Linked DNA regions of Callithrix jacchus. The protein of the gene in region 6 interacts with the protein of the main gene of each other region in a pairwise test. Links are inferred from orthologs where the notes say so. Each region holds a gene or a part of one and is shown on either strand. Other genes may lie near its edges.

Region 1 (3,604 bases), on a different chromosome or scaffold from region 6:
CAAAAGAGAGTGTTAAATCAGACTACCTTAGTTTGATGACAGTTTCCTTTACATTCATCTTACTCCCTTTATTCTGACTGTACTCACTAAGCCCCTTTCTGATGTTAATTTAGTTTACCAATTAGGCTCTCCTACTGGGAAGAGAATGCGCTGACCGGCCAACAAGTATACTGGTCTGCTTGGGCAGTTATATTTCTCATTGTAAATTAATAAATTGTGTTCTGGTTTATGAATCAGTCTTTCGTGAGTTTGGTTAGCATGAATTAGGCTCCTAGGGCCCAGTCACCCCAGTTGAAGCAAGTTTCTGAACCTAAGGACCAGACCTTGGATTTTCCTGACCTCATAAAGTGCAGCCACCTTACAAGGCCCTCCCTGAAACAGCCAACCACCTTTATTTTCTTTTGCTGTAAGGGAAATAACAGCAAAGTTTCATCACCAATGTTCTGTTGCTGCTTGGATCCAGGCTCAAAATAGTGTCTTGTATTGATTGCGTGTATCCTCCAGGTAGAAATAAGGCCACTTTGCTCCTGCATAGGAACAGCTGTTCTTTTAACTAGATTGACAGCCTTGATAGATTTGGTGTGAATTCTTACTGCTCCATGTTAGAAAGGACACACTTTTCTTCCTTGACAAGTCATGTTTTCAGGTACCCTCTGTTTTGGAGTCTCTCTGTAATTCACCCCTGGCTTTCCTTAGGTGTGTAACTTTACAGCTGTATTGGGAGTAACATTCCTACTTCTACTCAGCTGCTTTTCATGTTACCTTTCTTTGCTGAAAAGATTGTGGTAACTGAGTGCTGTTTTTCTTCTCTGTCATGTTGATGGACCTAGCCTCTGTTAATTTACTAAGTAAAGCTGGTGAGCTTCCTCTGCATAAAAGCGGTTGCCTCTTTTGGGACTTACAGCCATAGATACAAAATAGAACCCTTGCAAATGTGAAAACGGTAGTAGCTGGGAAGGTGTTTAGCTGTCAGATTACACTTGCCTAATACCTTTTTGTTCTTCAGTTTAAGAGAACTCTAGGAAAGAGCCATTTGCGGCCGGGTGCAGTGGCTCACGCCTGTAATCCCAGCACTTTGGGAGGCCAAGGCAGGCGGATCACGAGGTCAAAAGATCGAGACCAACCTAGCCAACATGGTGAAACCCCGTCTCTACTAAAAAATACAAAAATTAGCTGGGCGTGGTGGCATACACCTGTAGTCCCAGCTACTCTGGAGACTGAGGCAGGAGAATGGCTTGAACCCAGGAGGCGGAGATTGCAGTGAGCCGAGATTGTGCCATTCCACTCCAGCCTGGCGACAGAGCAAGACTCTGTCTCCAAAAAAAAAAAAAAGAGCCATTTGCCATGTGTTTGAGACATGAAGAACAAGACAGCACTGGCATTGTTCTGTAATACAAAAATCTAGGTGGTTGTCAACATAATTGATTCCACCTTAGGCTTTACTCAGGAATTGGGGTTAACTGTCATGTTCTAATTTAAGGAGCACTCTTTCCTTCCACACCTGATGCCAGTGGCATCTTTCTATCTCCAAGACCCCTACAGAGCCCATGTGATCCTGTTCTTCTGTTGGATTCCCCATTAACCAGGCTTAGACTATTAAACTGGAGAGGAGCAAGTTTAGCCAAGTGACATGACAGTGTCAGAAGCCATGCTTCCAGCTGTTTAAAACACGGTCTGAGCTCCTGCACTGTGCACATCACCATGAGGTGATGGTGTTTCTAGTAGGCTGCCCTGAGTTGTAGAAGATTTTGGCCATTGAAATGTAACGGGAGTTCCCCAGATTTGAGACTTGTTTTGTAGCAAGCTTTTGCTAAACATCCTTACTGTCAGCTATGTGCCATCTGTTCATTCTGTGGGCAGATCTTTTGTTGGCTTATCTCCCAAGTTTCTCTTAACCTCCAATTGTCTACTTTTCATGTGTGTGTCTTTCTCACCCTGATTACTCATTTTAGTATGTAAATATAAGTGCTATTCAGTTCCTGCCACTCCTTCTCTTCCCCTAAATTCCCTATTCAATGCCCCTTGGCAAAGAGAACATTTTAAGTGTGCAGCAGGAAGAGGTTAACTAGTATTAGTCTAAGGAGAGAGATCCTTAACTCTTCAGGAGATATGGGGTTTCAAGTCAACTGCAATTTACCTGAACATCAGTGAACACTGTCATTTCCTTGTGGGCCGTTAGGATCCTACATTTAAAAATAGAACACATATGTAAGGATGAATTAAATGTGTTCTGAAGTACTTTTGGAGTTCTGGATGAAAAACATTCTTTGACAGGATTTAGGACAATATTGTATTTTGGATATATATCTTCACTGATTTGCTTCTGACCTCTGAAGCCAAAGAAAAGGCAGTAGATGATTTTACCTTGTTTCTCAGACACTTTAGTCAGCTTCCTCTGTATGGTGTCTGATAACTCCTGCAGGATGAGCTGGTCCTATGGGTTTGTATAAAGCCTGGGCAGTAACGTTAGTTCTGTTTTGCTTCATAGGAATACCTCCACGGGCCCATTCTCGAGATTCTAGTGATTCTGCTGATGGACGGGCCACACCCTCTGAGAACCTAGTACCCTCATCTGCTCGTGTGGATAAGCCCCCCAGTGTGCTGCCCTACTTCAATCGTCCTCCTTCAGCCCTTCCCCTGATGGGTCTGCCTCCACCACCAATTCCACCCCCACCACCTCTCTCCTCAAGCTTTGGGGTCCCTCCTCCTCCTCCTGGTATCCACTACCAGCATCTCATGCCCCCACCTCCTCGATTACCTCCTCATCTTGCTGTACCTCCCCCTGGGGCCATCCCACCTGCCCTTCACCTCAATCCAGCCTTCTTCCCCCCACCAAACGCTACAGTGGGGCCTCCACCAGATACTTACATGAAGGCCTCTGCCCCCTATAACCACCATGGCAGGTAAGGACTATCTTGTTCCTTTCAGATCTGAGCCAGGGTAAATAAATGTATTAAGCATTTTATTCTCCCTGAGAAAGTGAGCACTGATTGCTTGCTCTTTCCCTTATGGACACACTGTTGTCATAGCATTGATTCCTGGGAAATAGTTTACTGTCTGTTTGTTAGTGTTTTTATTTCATGTTTGTATTGCATGTTAACCACTTGACGCAAACCATGTCCCTCATATCCCCCTTTAAGGTGCTTAATTAAATTAAATGCTTCAGGCAGCTGCTATGAATGCTACAGATGACTAACATTGTTCTATATTATGCCAGAATTACAAAAGTATTGTAGAATACCATAACAGTAACGAGGTGTGAGCAATCAAGGATGGTATTCTCTTTGTACAGCCGAGATTCGGGTCCTCCACCCTCTACAGTGAGTGAAGCTGAATTTGAAGATATCATGAAGCGAAACAGAGCAATTTCCAGCAGTGCCATTTCCAAAGCGGTATCTGGAGCCAGTGCAGGTAATTCGTGCTTACCTTTGCTGCCTTTTCCTTAACCTTTAGTTTTTTTCCTTATTTTGTCATTCCAACTGGCAGAAGTTCAACAAGATAAAGTTGGAGTGCTGTAGATATCAAGGTGGCACACTTGGAAAAGCAATATATAACCTGCTTTCTTGGCCTTGAGGAAGCTCCTGTGTCTAGGCCTGCCCTCATG
Region 2 (3,638 bases), on a different chromosome or scaffold from region 6:
CATAATCCCAGCACTTTGGGAGGCTAAGGCAGAGGGATTGCTTGAGCCCAGGAGTTGAAGACCAGCCTAGCCAACATGGCGAAACTTCATCTGTACAAATACAAAAATTAGCTGGGTGGCACATGCCTGTGGTCCCAGCTACTTGGGAGGCTGAGATGAGAGGATCACCTGAGCCTGAGAGGTAAGGCCACAGTGAGCTCTGATCGCACCTGTACACTCCAACCTTGGTGACAGAGACTCGGTCTCAAAAAAAAAACAAAAAAAAATGTGGAGTAAGCACCCTTGCTCCTACTCCTCCTTACCATTCTTTTCATGATACTCTGACAGCTTTTCTGACATTTTTATACTCCAGGTGGAGTACAGTGGCCCGATCTCAACTCACTGCAACCTCTGCTTCCCGGGTTCAAGCAATCCTCCTGCCTCAGCCTCCAAAGTAGCTGGGACTACAGGCCTGTGCCACACTTGGCTAATGACATCTCTTCTTAAAGAGAAAAGGTACTGCTGTCAAGGCAAACACCACAACTACACAAGGAGTTTAGTTTTATTTTCTCTGTGCATCTGCAAAATACTCAGAACCAACATAAAAAAGTAATACCTCCTGTGGAAAGTTACATTACAAAGGGGAATGGGGTGGGGTGCTCAAAGAGGTTAGTGCCTCAGCCCCAAGGAGCTACAGCATCTCTGATTGGTCCAAGGAATCGAAAAGATATTGGGAAGATGTAACAGGAGGAAGGAAAATGTGAATTTACTGAGGGAGAGGGCCCCGAAGCGGGCCTCGAGGGGGAACTGGTGGCCGGGGAGTGGGTCTGGGTGGAGGGAGAGGCCCCCGCTGGTAGCCATAGGGTGGGGGTCGTGGAGGGCCAGTGTATCCATGGGGGGGCATCAGTGGAGGAGGTCCACGCATACCATGTGGAGGCATAGGACCTGGGTGACCTGCAAGAAGTGAAAGAAAAGTTAGTAAGGGCCTGGGACAGGGGTGTACCTACAGGAAGTTGTTAGAACATGTTAGGTGCAGGTGAAGGAGGTGGCTAGAGCCGACTTACCCATGGGAGATCCGAATGGAGGCCCTCGGGGGGGCATGCCCATTGGAGGAGGTCCAGGATGAGGCATTCCAGGTGGTGGTCGGGGCGGTGGCTGCCCCCCAGAGCCTGGGGGTCCAGCATGGGGATGTCCCAAGCCATGAGGGCCATGGTGTGCCAGCTGCATCTGAGTCATCCCTATGAAAATAAAACAGACACAAAAAGAAAAGAGACAAAGATAGAGAAGAGGGCAAAGAAAATGGAGAAAGGAAGAGAACAAAATTAGAAAGAAAGTGACATCAGAAAGAGGACTATATAGAAAACAGGATCCAGAAAATAAGGCTGGCTGGGCAGTGGCTCATGCCAATAATCCCAGCACTTTGGGAGGCCTAGGTGAGAACATCACTTGAGCCCAGGAGTTTGAGGTCAGCCTGAGCAACATTGTAACACCCCGTATCTGTCAAAAAAATTTTTTTTAATTAGCGAGGCATGGTGGTGAGTGCCTATAGTCCCAGCTACTCATGAGGATGAGGTGGGAGGATCACTTGGGCCTCGGAGGCCAAGGCTACAGTGAGCCATGACTATGCCACTGCACTCCAGCCTGGTTGACAGAGTGAGACCCTGTCACCAAAAAAAATAACAACAACAACAAAAAAAAACAGCCAGGTGCAGTGGCTCATGCCTGTAATCCCAGCACTTTGGGAGGCCAAGGCAGGCAGATCACAAGGTCACGAGTTCAAGACCAGCCTGGCCAACATGGTGAAATCCCGTCTCTACTACAAATACAAAAATTAGCTAGGCATGGTGGTGCATGCCTGTAATCCCAGCTGCTCAGGAAGCTGAGGCAGGAGAACTGCTTGAACCAGGACCAGGGAGGCAAAGGTTGCAGTGAGCCGAGATCAGGCCATTGCACTCCAGCCTGGGCTACAGAGTGAGACTCCGTCTCAAAAAAAAAAAAAAGGAAGGAAGGAGGGAAGGAGGGAGGGAGGGAAGGAAGGGTAGTAAAAAGTGCGCCCTATCCTTGACCCCATTCCAACAGCACAAACCAATCAATCACTCAAGACCTTACCGTCTTTGCTTGCTTCTTCCGTGACTTAGGCACTGTAATGGTAATGCTGAAGTACATAACAAGCAGAGTGATAACTCTGTTGATAGGATTTGAGAAAGTAGCAGAGGACATACTGTCTAAGCAAAGATCTGATTCTAAAGCACGAATATTTCAGGAGGATAAGATCGTGGAAAGAGAGCACCCAAGCAGAAAGCCTACCATGCACAAATTGGGCCAGGCGCGGTGGCCCAAGCCTGGAATCCCAGCACTTTGGGAGGCCGAGGTGAGTGGATCACGAGGTCAAGAGATCAAGACCATCCTGGTCAACATGGTGAAACCCCACCTCTACTAAAAATACAAAAAAAATAAAAAATAAAAAAAAAAATAACTGGGCATGGTGGCACGCGCCTGTAATCCCAGCTACTCAGGGGCTGAGGCAGAAGAATTGCCTGAACCCAGGAGGCGGAGGTTGCGGTGAGCCGAGATTGCACCATTGCACTCCAGCCTGGGTAACAAGAGCGAAACTCCGTCTCAAAAAAAAAAAAAAAAAAAAAAAAAAAAAATCACAGGTGTCTCCAACAGCACAGTATGTTCCAGGATATGCCAGTAACTCAGTATCAGGAGCAAAATGCAGTTATGGAAATGAGGGGCAGGGGCCAAACCATAAAGAGCTGTGAATGCTATGGTAATGAGTTTGGGTTTTACTCTGTAGGTAAAAGGGAGCAAAAGAGGAATTCTGAGCATGCATGTGCACATCTGTGTTTTACAAAACTTACTCTGTGAAAGTAGATCAAAGTTAGTGAAAACTGGAGTCAAAGTGGCCGGATATTACTACAGTAAATTAAGTGTAAAATGAAGGAATGAGACTCAACTGGGGCACTGGCCATGGGGAGAGATGCCACTGACATAAATAAGACTCAGTATTAAGAGTGGGGTAAAGGCCGGGCACGGTGGCTCAAGCCTGTAATCCCAGCACTTTGGGAGGCCGAGGCGGGTGGATCACGAGGTCAAGAGATCGAGACCATCCTGGTCAACATGGTGAAACCCCGTCTCTACTACAAATACAAAAAATTAGCTGGGCATGGTGGCGTGTGCCTGTAATCCCAGCTACTCAGGAGGCTGAGGCAGGAGAATTGCCTAAACCCAGGAATTGGAGGTTGCAGTGAGCCGAGATCGCGCCATTGCACTCCAGCCTGGGTAGCGAAACTCCGTCTCAAAAAAAAAAGAGTGAGGTAATACTCCCCACAGTCACAGCAAACATAGCTCTCAGATTCATGAATTAAGCACCTGGAAAAAACGAATACTAGAGGAAGAATAGGTTTGAGGGAGAGGGATAGAAAGGTGGCACTATCTATTAAGCAGCAGCATTAAGGATCTGGAATGTTAACAGCTATGAACTAGAGACACAGATCTAGGAGGCATAAAACTACACATATATGCAGAAAAGAAAAGCACAAAAATCTACGCCCAAGTCCACAGAAGTCTATTGTGGTAGCTAAGATTAAGGAGTCAGAGAAAGAGGGGGAGGATCTAAAAAAGAAGAAGCAAAGAGACAAGGTTGGTTTTTTTTT
Region 3 (4,185 bases), on a different chromosome or scaffold from region 6:
GGCTGAGGTGGGAGGATCACTCGAGTCAGGGAGATCAAGGGGGCAGTGAGCCAAGATTATTTCACTTGAATATAAGTGAATATAAGATATATTTGATATATTTGATAAATATAAGATATATTTGAGCCATACCCTGTCTCAAAAAGAAAAAAATAATCTGTCTTCTTATTTTTTACCAGTAATTTTCTGTGTGCTGCACAGAAAGACAAAGATTGCACATTTGTATCTATGTACTGGGAAAAAGAGGCTTCTATTCTAGTTCTTTTAGCATCAGTCTGACAAATATGAATAGGTTAAATTTGAATTAAATTAAAGGCAGGTAATGATGAGAGAAAAGTATTTTCTAATCAACTGGGATGTCCATCAGGCTCAGGTAAAGGAGGAAAGTGAGAGTTTACATTTATTAGTTTTACTCTTCCAAGTTAAGGATCTGGTAAACTGGGGGGATTAGGAGAAAAAAAAAAACAAAGAGAAGAACATTGTGAATTTATGTTCTACAGTTTCTCTTCCATGTTCAGTATGCTAGAGCTTCACTCTGCTATTAAGAGATCTTTATGAGTCCCTTTTCTTTGTACAACATAGCTCTCTCTACTGCCACTATGTAGAAGCTGGGAGAAGTGTTACCACTAAAATATCTCAGCTGGAAATGGCCTCTATAGGTATAAACTATGGTAGCATTAGCTGGTAAAATTCAGTACGCAGGGCCTCCTGTCTCAAGGACAATAAATTTACAGCTGTTTGTGAGCTTCTCTGTTAAGATCTTTCCCATCTTCTCCCAACACCTGCTCTTTTAGATAAGGGATAAGGTTCAGGTTAGCCCTTCTTTTGATTCAATTCACATCTGTTTTAACATCTAGTAGAAACACAGTGTTTTTTTGTTTGTTTTTGTTTTTTGAGACAGTCTCCCTCTGTCACCCAAGCTGGAGTGCAGCGCGAGATCTCAGCTCACTGCAACCTCCATATCCTGGGTTCAAGTGATTCCCCTGCCTCAGGCGTGCACCACCGCTCCCAGCTAATTTTTGTATTTTTAGTAGAGACAGGGTTTTGCCATGTTGGCCAGGCTGGTCTCGAACTCCTGACCTCAGGTGATCCGCCCACCTTGGCCTCCCAAAGTGCTGGGATTACAGGCGTGAACCACCACGCCTGGCCAAAAACACAGTTACTTCTGACTTGTGAATACCATCCTTAACTAGTTTCCAGTGCTGATGAAACATTTTCCATTTTATGATTCCTTCTGCCACGCCATCAGAAATGTGGGCTGGGGAGCTGTGCATGTAATCCTATTACCATCACCTGACCTATTCCTACATTTTTAAAGTACATGTTTACAGAAATTCCAATTAAATCAAGAGATAATATTGGGACATCCTGAACATGTTCTATCCACTTCGAGGGGGTAACATCATTACTCTGGAGACCTCCCTATATTCTACACACTCTTATTTCTATAGGGTCCATCTCACATGATAGCAAACATTTAAAAAATGCATGGAAACTCCTCTAGTAAACATAGATGGCCCCACACCAAAACATATAAATAAATTTAAAGACTATTTAACATTTTGCTTTTGTAATTACTTACCTAATTATAAAAGATAATTAGCTAATTACCTATGGCTAACTTGTATAGTTTACCCCTGGATCTGATTTCTTAGCTATCATCCGCGTATAGTCATGAGGAAATCTTGCAAAGAAAACTTAACATAAATGTAATTAAAATTCAGATGAATGAAAATATTATGTCACATTTTACAAGCGTTTGATAGTAATTTCAACTTTGCACGTTTTTCCCATTTTCAAGAGAATATTTTTGATCCTAGCACTCTTAACTGCGCTATCTACTGGATAAAACAGCTCTGAAAGCTGTGGTGAGTTTCCTCCGCAAGGGCTTCCTCTATGCACACGTAATGCCATAATAAATAAAGGTCAGTGTGAGCCATTTTATTATGATCCATGTTGTAACTGTCCATATTATCAATATTGTGGGCTGAAAAGAACGATTTATCTTGGCAGTACCTGAAGCTTTCTCCAAAACTTAGGGTCCTTAAAGCTTAGTTCTTAGAGATTGGGGGCAAAAATTCTCCCTGATTTCCCAGGCAAAAAATCAACCCTTAATTGCTACGATGCTGGCTTCCCATCCACCGTAAGGGCGAAAAAGGTAGTAATTTCTTCGTTTAAAGGCCTTTGTTTCTATTTCAAATTCACCCCTAAGACGTTATTCCACCTGGCTGGTCTGTGACCCTGGTGCTGGCAAAATCCGCGCCACCCGGGGCATTGCCCGCGGGCTCCGCAGTCGTCAACCCAGGCCGCGAGCGAAGCCTGCACCCAGGGCCTGCTTCAGGAGCGCAAGAAACGGCCTTCACGGCGACGCGCGCCGAGAACGCGCAGCCGGGCGGCGGTTCCCCACGGGACGCGGCGGGAAACGCCCCGCGCGGCCGGCCCCAGACCCCGCCCGCCCCTCGCGCGGACACGCGCCTGGCTCCGCCCCCGGCCCCGCCGGCCGCGCGCCCCCACCCCGGCTGGGACCGGCCCCACGAGGTGCGCAGGGTCCTCACTTGTGGAAAGAAACGGGCTTATCCTTGTCGTAGCGGTTCTTGCAGCCGTAGGCGGAACAGGACTGCACCATCCTTCCGGTGGTCCTCAGGCACTTCACTTCTGCCGCCGCAGAAGGCAGGGGAAGCTGCTTTCAGTGTCGCCGCGCTCGGTTGGACACCCTCGTTTCTTTTGTAGCTTTGGCCAACAGTTACAGTGATGGTGGCCTCCCTCGGGAGTGACTAGTGTGCCCGTTTTGTTGTTTGCATTAGCAGAAGGACCACAGCCATCGCCCTTCTCCCATCTCCAAGATGGCGGAGGCAGCTTCAACCTCACCTATCGCGAGGGGTGCGTCCCACTGTCTCTGATTACTCTGAGGTCAGAGGTAACCTTTCCTTGGGAAGCTGACTATTGGCTGAGGCCAGGTGTTTCCGGTGGTGGCTTCGGAATTGCGGAAGTGGGCGGAGCCCTGAGCTTCTGGCCGGAAGGAAGGAACTGCTTGGAGGAGGAGGTGCGGCGGGAGGGCGGATTCCAGGGGCCACCTCAAACCCCGGGCTGTTCCGGCGGATTAATTGATCTGGAGCTTTCCTGGGGCGGCTTAGAGTAGGAAACTACTGGGGCCTCTTGGAGAACAGGTGTAAAGCCGAGGTCGTTGTCTGATTCCTCCCATTTGTTTAAAAGGGCAGGCACAGATCGTGTATAATTAATAAAATTGTGGAACCTTTTCCCAGAATGCTGATCTTTATCCCATTGCCTGCCTCTTCAGGTATCACAAAGCTCTGTGAGAGCAATGTGACAGGTTTTTAGGAATGAAGAAAGACACACTCACCAAATAATCTCAGTTGCCAAACGCAGAAGCATTATAATATGTATGTATGTATATGTATGTGTGTATATATATGTATGCGTGTGTACACATATATATATATAATTAAAAAATGGAGACGGTGTCTCCCCACGTTGCCTAGGCCGGTCTAGAACTCAAGCCCAAGGGATCCGGCCTCCTAGTGGCCTGGGATTACTGGAGTGAACCACCAGGCCCTCTCCAGAAGCTTTTATGAAGGGATGTCCATTGCTGTGATTTCCAGGTGCTGCAGCAACTTTTCACATCTGAGAGAGACTATGTCAGAGGGGTTATAAACTGGAGCCACTCTGTGTTGAGTGAGGGCTAGGAAGATGAGGCTGAGACTTGCTAGGCTGCATTCCCAGAAAGTTAGGTATTCCTAGTCTCTAGATGTTTACAGTTAAGGCAACAGATTGATAATATTTACTAAACAGACCCAGACTTCCAAGTGTCCAGATATCCTGATATTTTGAGAACAGAAGCATTCCTAATTTTGCTTTATTGGGCAGGGCGCAGTAGCTCAGGCCTGTAATCCCAGCACTTTGGGAGGCCGAGGTGGGCGGATCACCTGAGGTCAGGAGTTCGAAACCAGCTTGGCTAACATGGTGAAACCCTTCTTTTCTAAAAATGCAACAGTTAGCCAGATGTGGTGGCACATGCCTCAAATCCCAGCTACTCTGGAGGCTAAGGCAGGAGAATCACTTGATCCTGTGGAGGTTGCAGTGAGCCATGTTTATGCCACTGCACCCCAGCCTGGGTGACAGAGTGAGACTGTCTCATAAAGATGATATTGATTCTTACATAATATA
Region 4 (3,604 bases), on a different chromosome or scaffold from region 6:
GGCTGACCAAATGAACCATCTATACAATCTTTGCTCAATTAAAAATATTTCTTTCTTTCTTCACTGTGCTTGGTTTCGATATTCCAAACAATCAATTTAACGTTATCCTAGCTACTTACAAGCTTATCAAGAATCATACTGAGGTGCTTTTTTGTATCAAATTTACCTGTTTATTCATTCTATAGTGAACAGATTTTGTTTATTCACTATTTAAAACCAAGAAATTTAATCAGATTTTTCTTAGATTTCCTTAAATCACTGAAAAGTAACACCAAAAATACATAAGGTACTAACTGATTAATTACTGACAAAGTGTTCTACCTATGCAATATCCTTAAATTACCATATGTAAATTTAACTGTATTCTTATTTACTCAACGTGTTAAATCTGGATTACAGAACTGAGGAAAATTATGTTTTATGTAAATTATAAAAGGCCAACCAAAGTCAATCATGTCAAATAAAATGAACAATTCTGAAACAGAAGCCAGTAATATACAATGTGAGTATCCCCAGAGAAACCCTGAATATAAAGAAACTTTTAAAGTCACTCACTTTTTTTCAATTAACAATGTTTGAGCATGCTGGTTTTACCTTTTTTAATGCTAATTTTAAACCAATAATTGAAATAAGAAAATATCACTTATCTTTGCAAGTTATCTTTTAGCATGGATTCCTAATTTAAAATACCATTTAAAAAAGTGAGGCAACAAAGGTAAGCATGAACTGGAGTCAGTGGTCTGGGTTGAAATTGGCCCCATGATTTAATACCTGTGACTTCAAGCAAGTTGCTTAATCTCCCACTTCATTATCTCATTTGTGAAACAGAGGTAAATAACTAACCCTGTACTCATAGGGAATACTGAGATTATGCATATAAAGTGCTTACAGTGCCTAGCACATAGTAAGTGCCTGTTAGCCATAATATTATTATGGGTATAGAAAATCAAATTTCCTATCTGAGAAATGTATGCACTAAATGCTGAATATCTAAGAAGTCAAAATTCAACCACACAAGTCTTAGTTATGGAGTCTTTGCATGGATACAAAGTTTTGAAGCTAAAAAATGAGAACCTAGTATTACATGCAAGTTATGTGACTCATCAGTAGATTCTTCCTAGAAAAACAAACTACCATTTGTCAGATTCTTCCCAGCATAAGCCCGAGTCCCCTTGCACCTACAATTAGATTCTTATTTTACTGTCTTTTGAATATGTTGTATTATTCTTATTTTGTTAAGATGTCGAAGAAACCATGGGATTACACACAGCACTATACATTATTATTATAGAATGTCTGGTCCCTCTCATCAGAAATATGGTTTAATAAAGCTATTGAAAAACTTCACAATATCAAGCTGCAATTCTTTTTTCTTTTTATACAAATACAAGTTAATTAGTTGCTCTATTAAGTTGCAATTTTATTTTTATAAAACTTTGTAAAGTTTTGAACATGGAAACCCTAAGAATCACCTAAGCTTTTTACATAAGTAAATTTCAAGTTGACTGTCCATTTTGAACTATTTATAATTAACAGGACACTTAACACAGTAATATCTCAGACAAGAAAGAGGGCGTTAATTCTGCAGGCAGGTAGCAATGAAAATGCCAAACCTGAACAGTCAGTCACTATTTCCTTACATAGTTTGAGTAAAAAATGTAGACTACAGAATGAAAAAAAAGTGAAATGTAACTTCCCCAAATACAACTCTACTTCAGTGAGTCTTGAAGCTTACCCATGACATCAACAAAAATGAATGAACTCAGGGAATTCTTTCTCACCATCAAAGAAAAGAACAGCATGTATAATTTTAAATTAGAAAAAAAATGAATGGCAATTTGCAAGCAAAAGAAAACCAGATTCACATTCTACTATTTACATTTGTTCTATTCACAGGTCAAAATTAAAACACTTCACTAGATTAAAAAAAAAAACACCTTTTAAAAACAAATGTATTTTACTCTATCAATACTGCAAGGAAGATAACTGAATTTAGAAATGCTCTCTATAGCAAAGTTAATTTAACTTTTCGGGGCCCAACTGGCCTATCATTTAGATCTTTAATAGCAGCCATAGCTTCATTATAGTTTATCATAGCAACAATGGCTTCCCCTGTAGGTAAGCCTTGCTCATTATACTGTATTGAAACTGAATCAGGTATGATTCTGTAACCATGGAAAAAGTCTAAAATTTCATTAACATTAGCTTTAAATGGAAGATTCATTATCTTAATAGGAGTTACTCTACCTGAACCACAATTTATCTTTGGATCAGGAATAAATCTCCCCTCAGCAAAACTTCCCATATTATGCTTTCCAAAATCAAACTTGCCACCTTCTGGGCGACCAAAATTCACAAAAGGGCGGTGACTTCTGAAATCATCAGGCGGGCTCCTAAAATCCTCACCAGGAGGTCTAAAATTGTCAGGAAGTCTAGGGTCCTCCTCCAGAGCTTCCCTAAGGTCTTCCTCTGGGAGCTGCCTGAAGTCCTCATCAGAAGGGCATCTAAAATCTTCCTCCTGGGGGTTCCTGAAGTCCTCATCAGGTGGGTGCCTAAAGTCTTCATCGGGAGGGCTCCTGAAGTCTTCATCTGGTGGGTGCCTGAAATCTTCCTCTCGAGAGCGCCTGAAATGCTCCTGAGGCGGACGCCTGAAATGCTCCTGAGGCGGACGCCTGAAATGCTCCTGGGGCGGTCTCCGGAAGTGCTCGGGGGGCGGCCGCCTGAAATGCTCCGGGGGCGGCCGCCGGAAATGCTCCGGGGGTGGCCGCCTGAAATGCTCCGGGGGTGGCCGCCGAAAATGCTCCGGGGGTGGCCGCCGGAAATGCTCCTGAGGTGGCCTCCGGAAATGCTCCTGGGGTGACTGCCTGAAGTCCTCCTCAGGGGAGTGCCTGAAATCCTCCTCTGGGGGCCGCCTGAAGTCATCCTCGGGTGGTCGCCTCCATTCTCCCTGAAGAGGCCGCCTGAAGTCCTCCTCTGGGGGCCGTCTCCAGTCCTCCTCGGATGGCCGCCTGAAATCTTCCTCTGGGAGCCGCCTGAAGTCCTCCTCAGGAGGTTGCCTGAAGTCCTCCTCAGGAAGCTGCCTGAAGTCCTCCGTGGGAGACCGCCTGAAATCCTCCTCCAGTGGCCGCCTCCAATCCTCCTCAAGGGGCCTCCTCCAGTCTTCCTCCCTAGGGTGCCTGAAGTCATCCTCCGGAGGGCGCCTGAAATCTTCCTCCCAAGGGCGCCTGAAGTCCTCCTCAGAAGGCCGTCTGAAGTCCTCTTCCCGAGGTCGCCTGAAGTCCTCTGGGGAACGCCTGAAGTCCTCCGGGGGAAACCTGAAATCCTCTGAGGAGTGTCGGAAGTCTTCTGGAGGGTGCCTGTCAGGCTGCCGGAAATCCCTCTGGGGATGCTTGAAGTTATCCAGTTGCCTCAGGTCCTCCAGCTGATGTCTAAAGCTTTCAAAAGGACCAACTGAGTATATTGGTGGGTCTTTTGAGTCAAATAAATGGGAATGATCACTTCGCTCACGTGACTGTGAACGAGCTTGCATCTTCTCACTGGACATCAAGGAAAAATTTACACCAAACTCCTGCATTTGTGCGTCAGATATAAGTCTTAATAATAC
Region 5 (3,604 bases), on a different chromosome or scaffold from region 6:
CAAGGCACATTTATAAAGTAATTTATGGAAAAAAGCACACCCAATCTAATACATTTTTGCTTCAGAATAAAAGAGTATTACAAAGCTAAGAAAAAGATGTTCTGGTCTCCTAAGCAGTGAGAGGATGGTTGTAGCAGTTCATCAAGTAAGCTTTGAAAAATATGAGGGTCTCCTAGGTTCTTTACATTGCCTAGTTGTGGAGACGTAGAAGTACTACCATGGGCCGGCCTACCATGTATGTCTGGCCTCTGAAGCACTGGAGAATAGGAAAGTCAAAGTATTCAAGAGTGTACTGGGTTGGGGGAAGCTATAACATCTGTAGTTCACTTTCTTGGAAAGGCAGGAGGGAAAAGACAGAAAGATGGAGGCAGCTGGCTCCATGTCTTTCCCAGCTTTCTTTTCTTCCAATTTTCAAAACTAGTAAAATAGACATAAAATTCACCATCTTAACCAGTTTTAAATGTAAGTTCGGTGTTATTAAAAATGTTCATAATGTTGTGTAACCAACACCACCATCCATCTCCATAACTTCTTCATCTTGTAACACTGAAGCTTTACACCCTTTAAACAGCAACTTCCCATTTCCTCCTCCCGCTAGTAATCACCACTCTACTTTGTCTTTATGATTTTCACTAAGTATCTTATGTAAGTGGAATCTTCTTGTGACTGACTTATTTCACTTAGCATAATGTCATCATAATGTTCACCCATGTTGCATGGGTCAGAATTTCTTTCCTTTTTATGGCTGAATAATATGGCACTGTATGTATATACCACATTTTGCTTATCCATTCATCCCTCACACCTATCCTACTTTTTAAAGCCAAATTTAACCTAAGGGAAAAAAACTAATTTGGGAAGATAGTTGTCCCAAACGTAGAGGTTGCTACGTTATAAATAACCTTTGATAAGAGACCTCGGAGAATCTCATGTAGTTTCTTAATTTGGACCCTAAAACTGTAGTATTATTAATATCTGAGGCACTGCTCAAAATCCATGAGTTACTTCAATGGCAGAGTAACTAATTCCTAATAAGTTCCTCTTAGGTGCCCTCAGAATATTCTAATATAAAGCAAATTCCTGCCTCCTCCCACTCAGAAAACTATACAATAGCAAGAACTCACCACCATGGCAAAGCCTTTCTTGGGGGCTATAATCAAAGTGTTCTCTTTCTCCTCCAGACTCTAGAGCACAAGTTATCTGCATCACTCACTTAGAACTTAATCACAGGTAATTGATTTTTATGTCACTAATTTCTTTTAATGATATTATAAATGATTAAATGTTGTTTCATATTTTTTAGTATATTTTGTCTAATTAGTCTGAATCTTGTGTTTATCCCATAATGGCTTAGCATGGCAAATGAACAGTAAGTATCCATTAATGTGATTCTTCCCTTTGTCTTTTTCGTCTCTAGTCTTAGGGCCTTTTCTAGTCCATCCCTTCTGAGAAAGACAAAGGTAGAGTCAGCACTGTTCCCTCCTACTGGGAGAACCCTCTGACGGGCACCGATTGAGGAAATACAATGATTTACACAATTACTAATTATTTTACCCTCTTCTGAGATACAGAGTGGAGGGACTCCAGCCTATAAAGTAAGTATATTAATCCAGCATTGTCACTCAATCAAAATGTCTATGTATTGTATAGCTCTGTCTGAGCCCTATATAAGAAGGAAAATTTTTATAAATTAAAAAAAATTATATAAAAAGAAATTTTTAAAAAATTAACATCACCACTCCCAATTTTGTTGTCTTGGAATATATTATTCTGCTTTATTAGTTTAACAAATATTAATTGCGCACTCATGCATCAGGAGGATATTGGGGATGTGCCAGAGAACAAATAAGACAAAACACTGTCTTCATGGAGCTTATACATTCTTAACAGATATCTTCTGCATTATTTGTACTTCATGTAATAGGACTTCTGTGGCAAACACTGTCATTGAATCAGGTTTTCAGTAACAGACATATGCTATGTATTATATTAGTTACTAAGAAATCTAAAGTTTAAAGGACAAAGAAGTTAAATGCTACTAATTTCAACTATTTACTTTTCAGCAAACTAGTTAACAAAAACTGAAAAAACCTGAAGCTACGCAATAAACACACAATAGCTCTATAAAGTAAATAAAATGTAGTCTTCCACGAAAAAATAGGATAGGGAAAGATAGAGTTACTATTTGTTCTTGAGAATAAGCAGAGATGAAGATAAGCTCAGTTCTGAGAGACAGAAAATAAAGTGTGAAGAGGGAGAAAATATCCCCAATTATAATGAAATAAAGGATAAGACATTATATCTGAGGAGGAATAAGCGCCAAGAAAATCGTGGCATCGTGATAGCAACAGGAGGCAGATGAAGGTAGAATAGGGAAGGGCCTAGAAGTACAATGTGGATCCACTACAGATTCTCAATAAGGGCATTAGCCCAAAAATTTCTTGTCTGGTAGAACCTTAGAGGAGGTAAAGCTTACAATAATGACAACATCAAATAGACAGTACCTAAAACAGATATGTAAATAGGAAGATTTCCGTTTTAGATAAGCTTTTTCATCTTTACAGTTAACACAAAAGTTAAGCTCTATTTAATTTTCACCCCAAATTAAGTCATATTAATAAAGCACATAGAGTTTAATAGATATTCAAAGCATATAAATAATATTCAACCCCTTACCTTTAGGGATGTCAGCTGATCTGCCCACATTTCTATTATGGGAACAAGATGCTCAAATCCACAATCTTGAACAAGATCTTTATTAAAATTTTGGGATCCCCCTTTGCTCTGTTTATAAATTATTACTGGAGCTCTTGGATTGTGGATAATTGAGTTGATGCTACATAGCACCTTTAAAAAAAAACAGTGTATTTAGTCAAAATATTTATCCTATGCCTGCAAAGTTATATATTTTAATGGTGTGCTTTATATGTCTATATATTACATATATATATTTCATTAAATATACCAAAGAGAATTATCATAAGGAATTGGCTCATGCAATTATGAAGACTGACAAGTCCCAAGATCTGCAGTGAGGAAGAGAATACCCAGGAAAGCTAATGGATATTTGCAGTCTGAACACAGGCAGACTGAGATCCCTGCAAGTGCTGTTTCAGTTTGAGTCTGAAGGCAGAAAAAAAACAGTGTCCCATCTTAAAAGCAGTCAGGCAGGAGGAGTTTCCTCTTACTCAGCCTTTTGTTCTACTCAGGCCTTCAAATGATTGGATGAGGCCCACCCCATTAGGAAAGGCAGTCTGCTTTACTAAGTCTACTGATTCGGATGTCAATCTCATCAAGAAGCACCTTCCCGGACACATCTGAATAACGTTTAACCAAATGTCAGGCACCCTGTGCCCCAGTAAACTTAAAACAAAATTAACTATTACAAACACCCATATAATCACTACCTAGGTTCAACAATTGTTAGTATTTTGCCATGTTTGCTCACTATCTGTATTTCTAGGTGAACCATTTGAAGAAAATGTGGACATCCTAACTCTTCACCCTCAAATAATAAAGTATGCATCTTTTAAAAGTGGGCATATTCTCCTACAAACTCACAAGACCATTATCAGATGATTTAAGGAAATTAACAGTAATCCTC
Region 6 (3,604 bases):
GGCACCCAGGCCAGAGCCCCGCACCCGTGTTTGGGCCTGTGTGAGGGAGGCAGGCTCTGTCAGGCTGGTGGGGGATGCTGTGAGGGATGCTGGGGGGTGGGATGGGACTGCTTGAGACTCACCTCGATGGGCGTTACAATGCCCTGCTTCTTGCGGCCCAGGCCACTGCCCTCTTTCCAGCCCATGGCCTGGAGCATGCGACTGCCAATGTTGTCACTGCCCAGCCCGTCCCGAGTAGGCTGCTCGAAGTCTCTGCAGAGGCAGTGCACAGCATGAGTGGTCGGCACGTAGGCCCCAGACCCCAGAGATCCCCTCACCTGGCCCAGCCACTCACACGGAAGCTGTGGATATGCCACCGTACTTTCTCCTCTTGGGCTCTGGTGGCTCGGGGATGCCATACTTCTCTCTGCGTTCAGCTGCACGGTCCCGGTACTTCATTTGCTGAAAATTTGTACGTGTATGTGAATGCTGGGGAGCTGGTTGCTTTTCTCAGGCAACACAGGCATGGGGTTGGGGTCCCACAGGGCACCCCATCTGGCTAATGAGGCTCAGGTCCCAAGGGTCAGGCCATCATGGACACAAGCAGCCAGGGTAGGAGAATGGGGAAGGCTCATGGGGTTAGCATGTGAGAACTTGAACTCCAGCTGCCTGAGGTGATGGGGACTTGGAAGGGACAGAGGGGAGGGGGCCCAGGAGCAGGTCACACCTCACCTCCATGTCATTCTTCTCTAGTGCTTCTAGCTCATTTTCTGACAAGTGGGCTCGCCGGTGAATCTCAAGGTTTTGCTGCAAGGGGGGACAGTGAGAAGTGAAGAGGCTGAGCCTCAGTGGGCCTTGCCCCAGTGTGCCCTGCCAACCCTCTGCTCAGTTACCTTATGGAGCCCCGAGAGCTGCTGGTGCCGGATGAGTGCCTCTTTGCTGGGGAACTGGCGTCGGCAAAGCAGACAGGCCAGCTTCTGCCAGTCAGTGAGCTTCTCTTCCCGCTCAGGGCCCCCGCGCTCCTGCTCTTCCTCGCTGTCACTCTCCCCGCTGTAGGCTGCCACCAGCCCCCTCGGAGGGCTCTGTAGAGGGTAAGAGTGGGCAGTCAGGCCTGGCCAGATCAGAGCCCCCACCCGTCTGCCCTGGGCACTCACTGGGCGGTCGTCGCTGGCCAATTTCGGGAGATCCATGCTGGTGTGCTGTCTCTCGGCTAGTGCACCCTGGGGTGGAGGGACATAGAAATTCAGGGACTCCACAGAGGGCCCAAAGGAAGGACAAGATTGTGAGGCAAAGTGCAGGGGGGTGGCTCCAACACACCTTCTTCTCCAGGATGGCATAGCCGGCATCTGCAGTGGCTGACTCCCGCCTCTCGTCATCTCGCAGGGAGCTGATAGGCTGGAAGCTATTTTTGAAGTTTTCTTTTTGTTTGTTGAGACTGCGTGCCCACCGTTCCATGTCCTTGGCAATCTAGGGGTGAGGGTGGAGGTGAGGTTCCCAGAACCCTCATGCCTCTGGGGCTACTAACTTCTTCTGCTGACCCACTGCCCTGCAGCCTCAAACCTGGGCCGGCTACCATACCTAGTCTGAACCACTGCAAAAGGCTTCATCTGGCCTCCGGGCTATGGCTCCTACCTACCTCTCCAAACAGAGCACTCTTTTACAAAGTATAAGCCATTCCCACCCCCAAATACAATGTCCTTAAAACCCTTCCTCGGCCTCCCATCATACCTAGAATAAACCCAAACTCTCACAGCCTGCAAGGAATTCGGCACCTGGCTACTCCTGACCTCATCACTGAACACACCCCGTACCCCCACCCTCACTGGTCTGCAATGGTGAGGCAGCAGAAGCAGTGTGGGCAGACTGGTGAGCCCATCTAAGAGGGAGATAAGGGGAAGCTGAGGCAGAACAAGCAGAAGGTGAGGAACATGGTAGTGCAAGTTCCTATTTTCTGTCACCAGTGCCTCTTGTCAAGCCCCTCTCTGGCTGTGTTCTCTGCTACAGTTTTGTCCCTCAAAGTTATTGTGTCAGAAATTTAATCCATAATACAGTGTTGACAGGTGGAGCCTTTATCCCAGTGAGATGCAGTGGCTCATGGCTGTAATCCCAACACTTCGGGAGGCCGAGGCGGGTGGATCAGCGGAGGTCAGGGTTCGAGACCAGCCTGGCTAACATAGTGAAGCCCCATTTCTGGTAAAAAAAAAAAATCAGCTGGGCATAGTGGCACATGCCTGTAATCCCAGCTACTCAGGAGGCTGAAGCAGTAAAATCACTTGAACCCAGGAGGCGGAGGTTACAGTAAACTGAGATTGCACCATTGCAGTCCAGCCTGGGCGACAACAGCAAAACTCCATGTCAAAAAAGAAATTTAATCCCTAATGCAACAGTGTTGACAGGTGAGGCCTTTAAGAGGTGATTAGCTTGGCCAGGTACAGTAGCTCACACCTGTAATCCCAGCACTTTGGGAGCTGAGGCAGGTGGATCACAAGGTCAAAAGGTCGACTCTACTAAAAATACAAAAATTAGCTGGGCATAGTGGTGTACACCTGTAGCCCCAGCTACTTGGGAGGTTGAGGCAGGAGGATCGCTTGAACCCAGGAGGCAGGCGTTGTAGTGAGCTGGGGTCACGCCACTGCACTCCAGCCTGGCAACAGAGTGAGATTCCATCTCAAAAAAAAAAAAAAAAAGAGATGAAGGCTCTGCCCTCCTGAAGAAATTACGGCTGTTTTTTTTTTAATTGTATGGATTTATGGGGTAACAAGTGCTTTTGTTACATGCACAGCTTGCATACTGTTGAAGTCAGGGCTTTCAGAGCATCTATCAGCTGAACAATGCACATTGTATCCATTAAGTAATTTCTCATCCTTCACCCCCTCCCACCTCCTCCACCTTTTGAGTCTCCATTTAATGCTATCACTGAGACTGGGTTCCTGATAAAAAGGGGGAGTCTGGCCCAATTTTCTCTTGGTCTCATGCATGCTCTCTTGCTCTTTGCCATGATGTGACGCAGCAAGAGGCCCTCACCCTGCCTACAGAACTGTGAGCCAAATCAATCTCTTTTCCTTATAAATTACCCACAGTCTGTGGTACTGTTATAGAGCAGCAAATGAAGGCATTCCCCTTCCCCTGACACATACCCACACAGTCACATTTGTTGTGCATTTCCATTTTGTCATTTTAAAATGCATAGGAATGTTATATGTGTCTAATTTTAATTTATATGTGTGACACAGTGCCACATTCTATATTTCCATGTTCCCCCCAGCACAGCACCATTTTTAGAATTCACTAGGTTGCTGAGGGAACACTTAGTGCTTGCTTGTAAATGCTACGCTCAGGGTGACACCTTTCTCCACAGAGAGACACTGAGGTGCCCTCATCTGCCCACCTCCCCAAAACACTGCAGGGCCTTTTTCCTGCCCACCCCGTTATGGGCCTGTGAGAATTTCTCTGGCGCATATATACATCCACCAGCAGCATGTGAGGGTCCCCACCATGGGAAAGAAACATGGCAGGGCTCGCTCAGATGGCACAAGCCACCTCCTGGAGTTGGGCAACCCTGCCATGCACTGAGGAGACTGCTGTGGCTCAAGGCCATTCAGCAAAGAGCAGAGCTGGAAGAGGA

What was found.
Region 1: the proteins of RBM10 (region 6) and CPSF7 interact in binary tests that used the Homo sapiens proteins (3 or more experiments, as listed by UniProt). The two-hybrid records come from large-scale screens. The link is inferred for Callithrix jacchus from reciprocal best matches to the Homo sapiens genes RBM10 and CPSF7.
Region 2: the proteins of RBM10 (region 6) and SF3B4 interact in binary tests that used the Homo sapiens proteins (3 or more experiments, as listed by UniProt). The link is inferred for Callithrix jacchus from reciprocal best matches to the Homo sapiens genes RBM10 and SF3B4.
Region 3: the proteins of RBM10 (region 6) and THAP1 interact in binary tests that used the Homo sapiens proteins (3 or more experiments, as listed by UniProt). The two-hybrid records come from large-scale screens. The link is inferred for Callithrix jacchus from reciprocal best matches to the Homo sapiens genes RBM10 and THAP1.
Region 4: the proteins of RBM10 (region 6) and RBM12B interact in a two-hybrid assay, tested with the Homo sapiens proteins (3 studies listed by BioGRID). The link is inferred for Callithrix jacchus from reciprocal best matches to the Homo sapiens genes RBM10 and RBM12B.
Region 5: the proteins of RBM10 (region 6) and CEP70 interact in binary tests that used the Homo sapiens proteins (3 or more experiments, as listed by UniProt). The two-hybrid records come from large-scale screens. The link is inferred for Callithrix jacchus from reciprocal best matches to the Homo sapiens genes RBM10 and CEP70.

The regions. Positions count from the first base shown.
Region 1 is NC_133511.1:118,415,459-118,419,062, reverse strand, and holds part of CPSF7 (cleavage and polyadenylation specificity factor subunit 7), read left to right. Parts: intron 1-2,488; coding exon 2,489-2,903; intron 2,904-3,292; coding exon 3,293-3,411; intron 3,412-3,604.
Region 2 is NC_133519.1:9,855,972-9,859,609, forward strand, and holds the end of SF3B4 (splicing factor 3B subunit 4), read right to left. Parts: intron 1,218-3,638; coding exon 1,044-1,217; intron 934-1,043; coding exon 746-933; 3' UTR 524-745; downstream 1-523. UniProt on the Homo sapiens protein: Component of the 17S U2 SnRNP complex of the spliceosome, a large ribonucleoprotein complex that removes introns from transcribed pre-mRNAs.
Region 3 is NC_133514.1:44,607,791-44,611,975, forward strand, and holds the start of THAP1 (THAP domain-containing protein 1), read right to left. Parts: upstream 2,896-4,185; 5' UTR 2,627-2,895; coding exon 2,556-2,626; intron 1-2,555. UniProt on the Homo sapiens protein: DNA-binding transcription regulator that regulates endothelial cell proliferation and G1/S cell-cycle progression.
Region 4 is NC_133517.1:33,452,884-33,456,487, reverse strand, and holds part of RBM12B (RNA-binding protein 12B), read right to left. Parts: coding exon 2,006-3,604; 3' UTR 1-2,005.
Region 5 is NC_133518.1:45,826,226-45,829,829, reverse strand, and holds part of CEP70 (centrosomal protein of 70 kDa), read right to left. Parts: intron 2,848-3,604; coding exon 2,677-2,847; intron 1-2,676.
Region 6 is NC_133524.1:48,143,209-48,146,812, reverse strand, and holds part of RBM10 (RNA-binding protein 10), read right to left. Parts: intron 1,447-3,604; coding exon 1,297-1,446; intron 1,200-1,296; coding exon 1,134-1,199; intron 1,062-1,133; coding exon 873-1,061; intron 787-872; coding exon 712-786; intron 442-711; coding exon 335-441; intron 253-334; coding exon 123-252; intron 37-122; coding exon 1-36. UniProt on the Homo sapiens protein: Binds to ssRNA containing the consensus sequence 5'-AGGUAA-3'. May be involved in post-transcriptional processing, most probably in mRNA splicing. Binds to RNA homopolymers, with a preference for poly(G) and poly(U) and little for poly(A).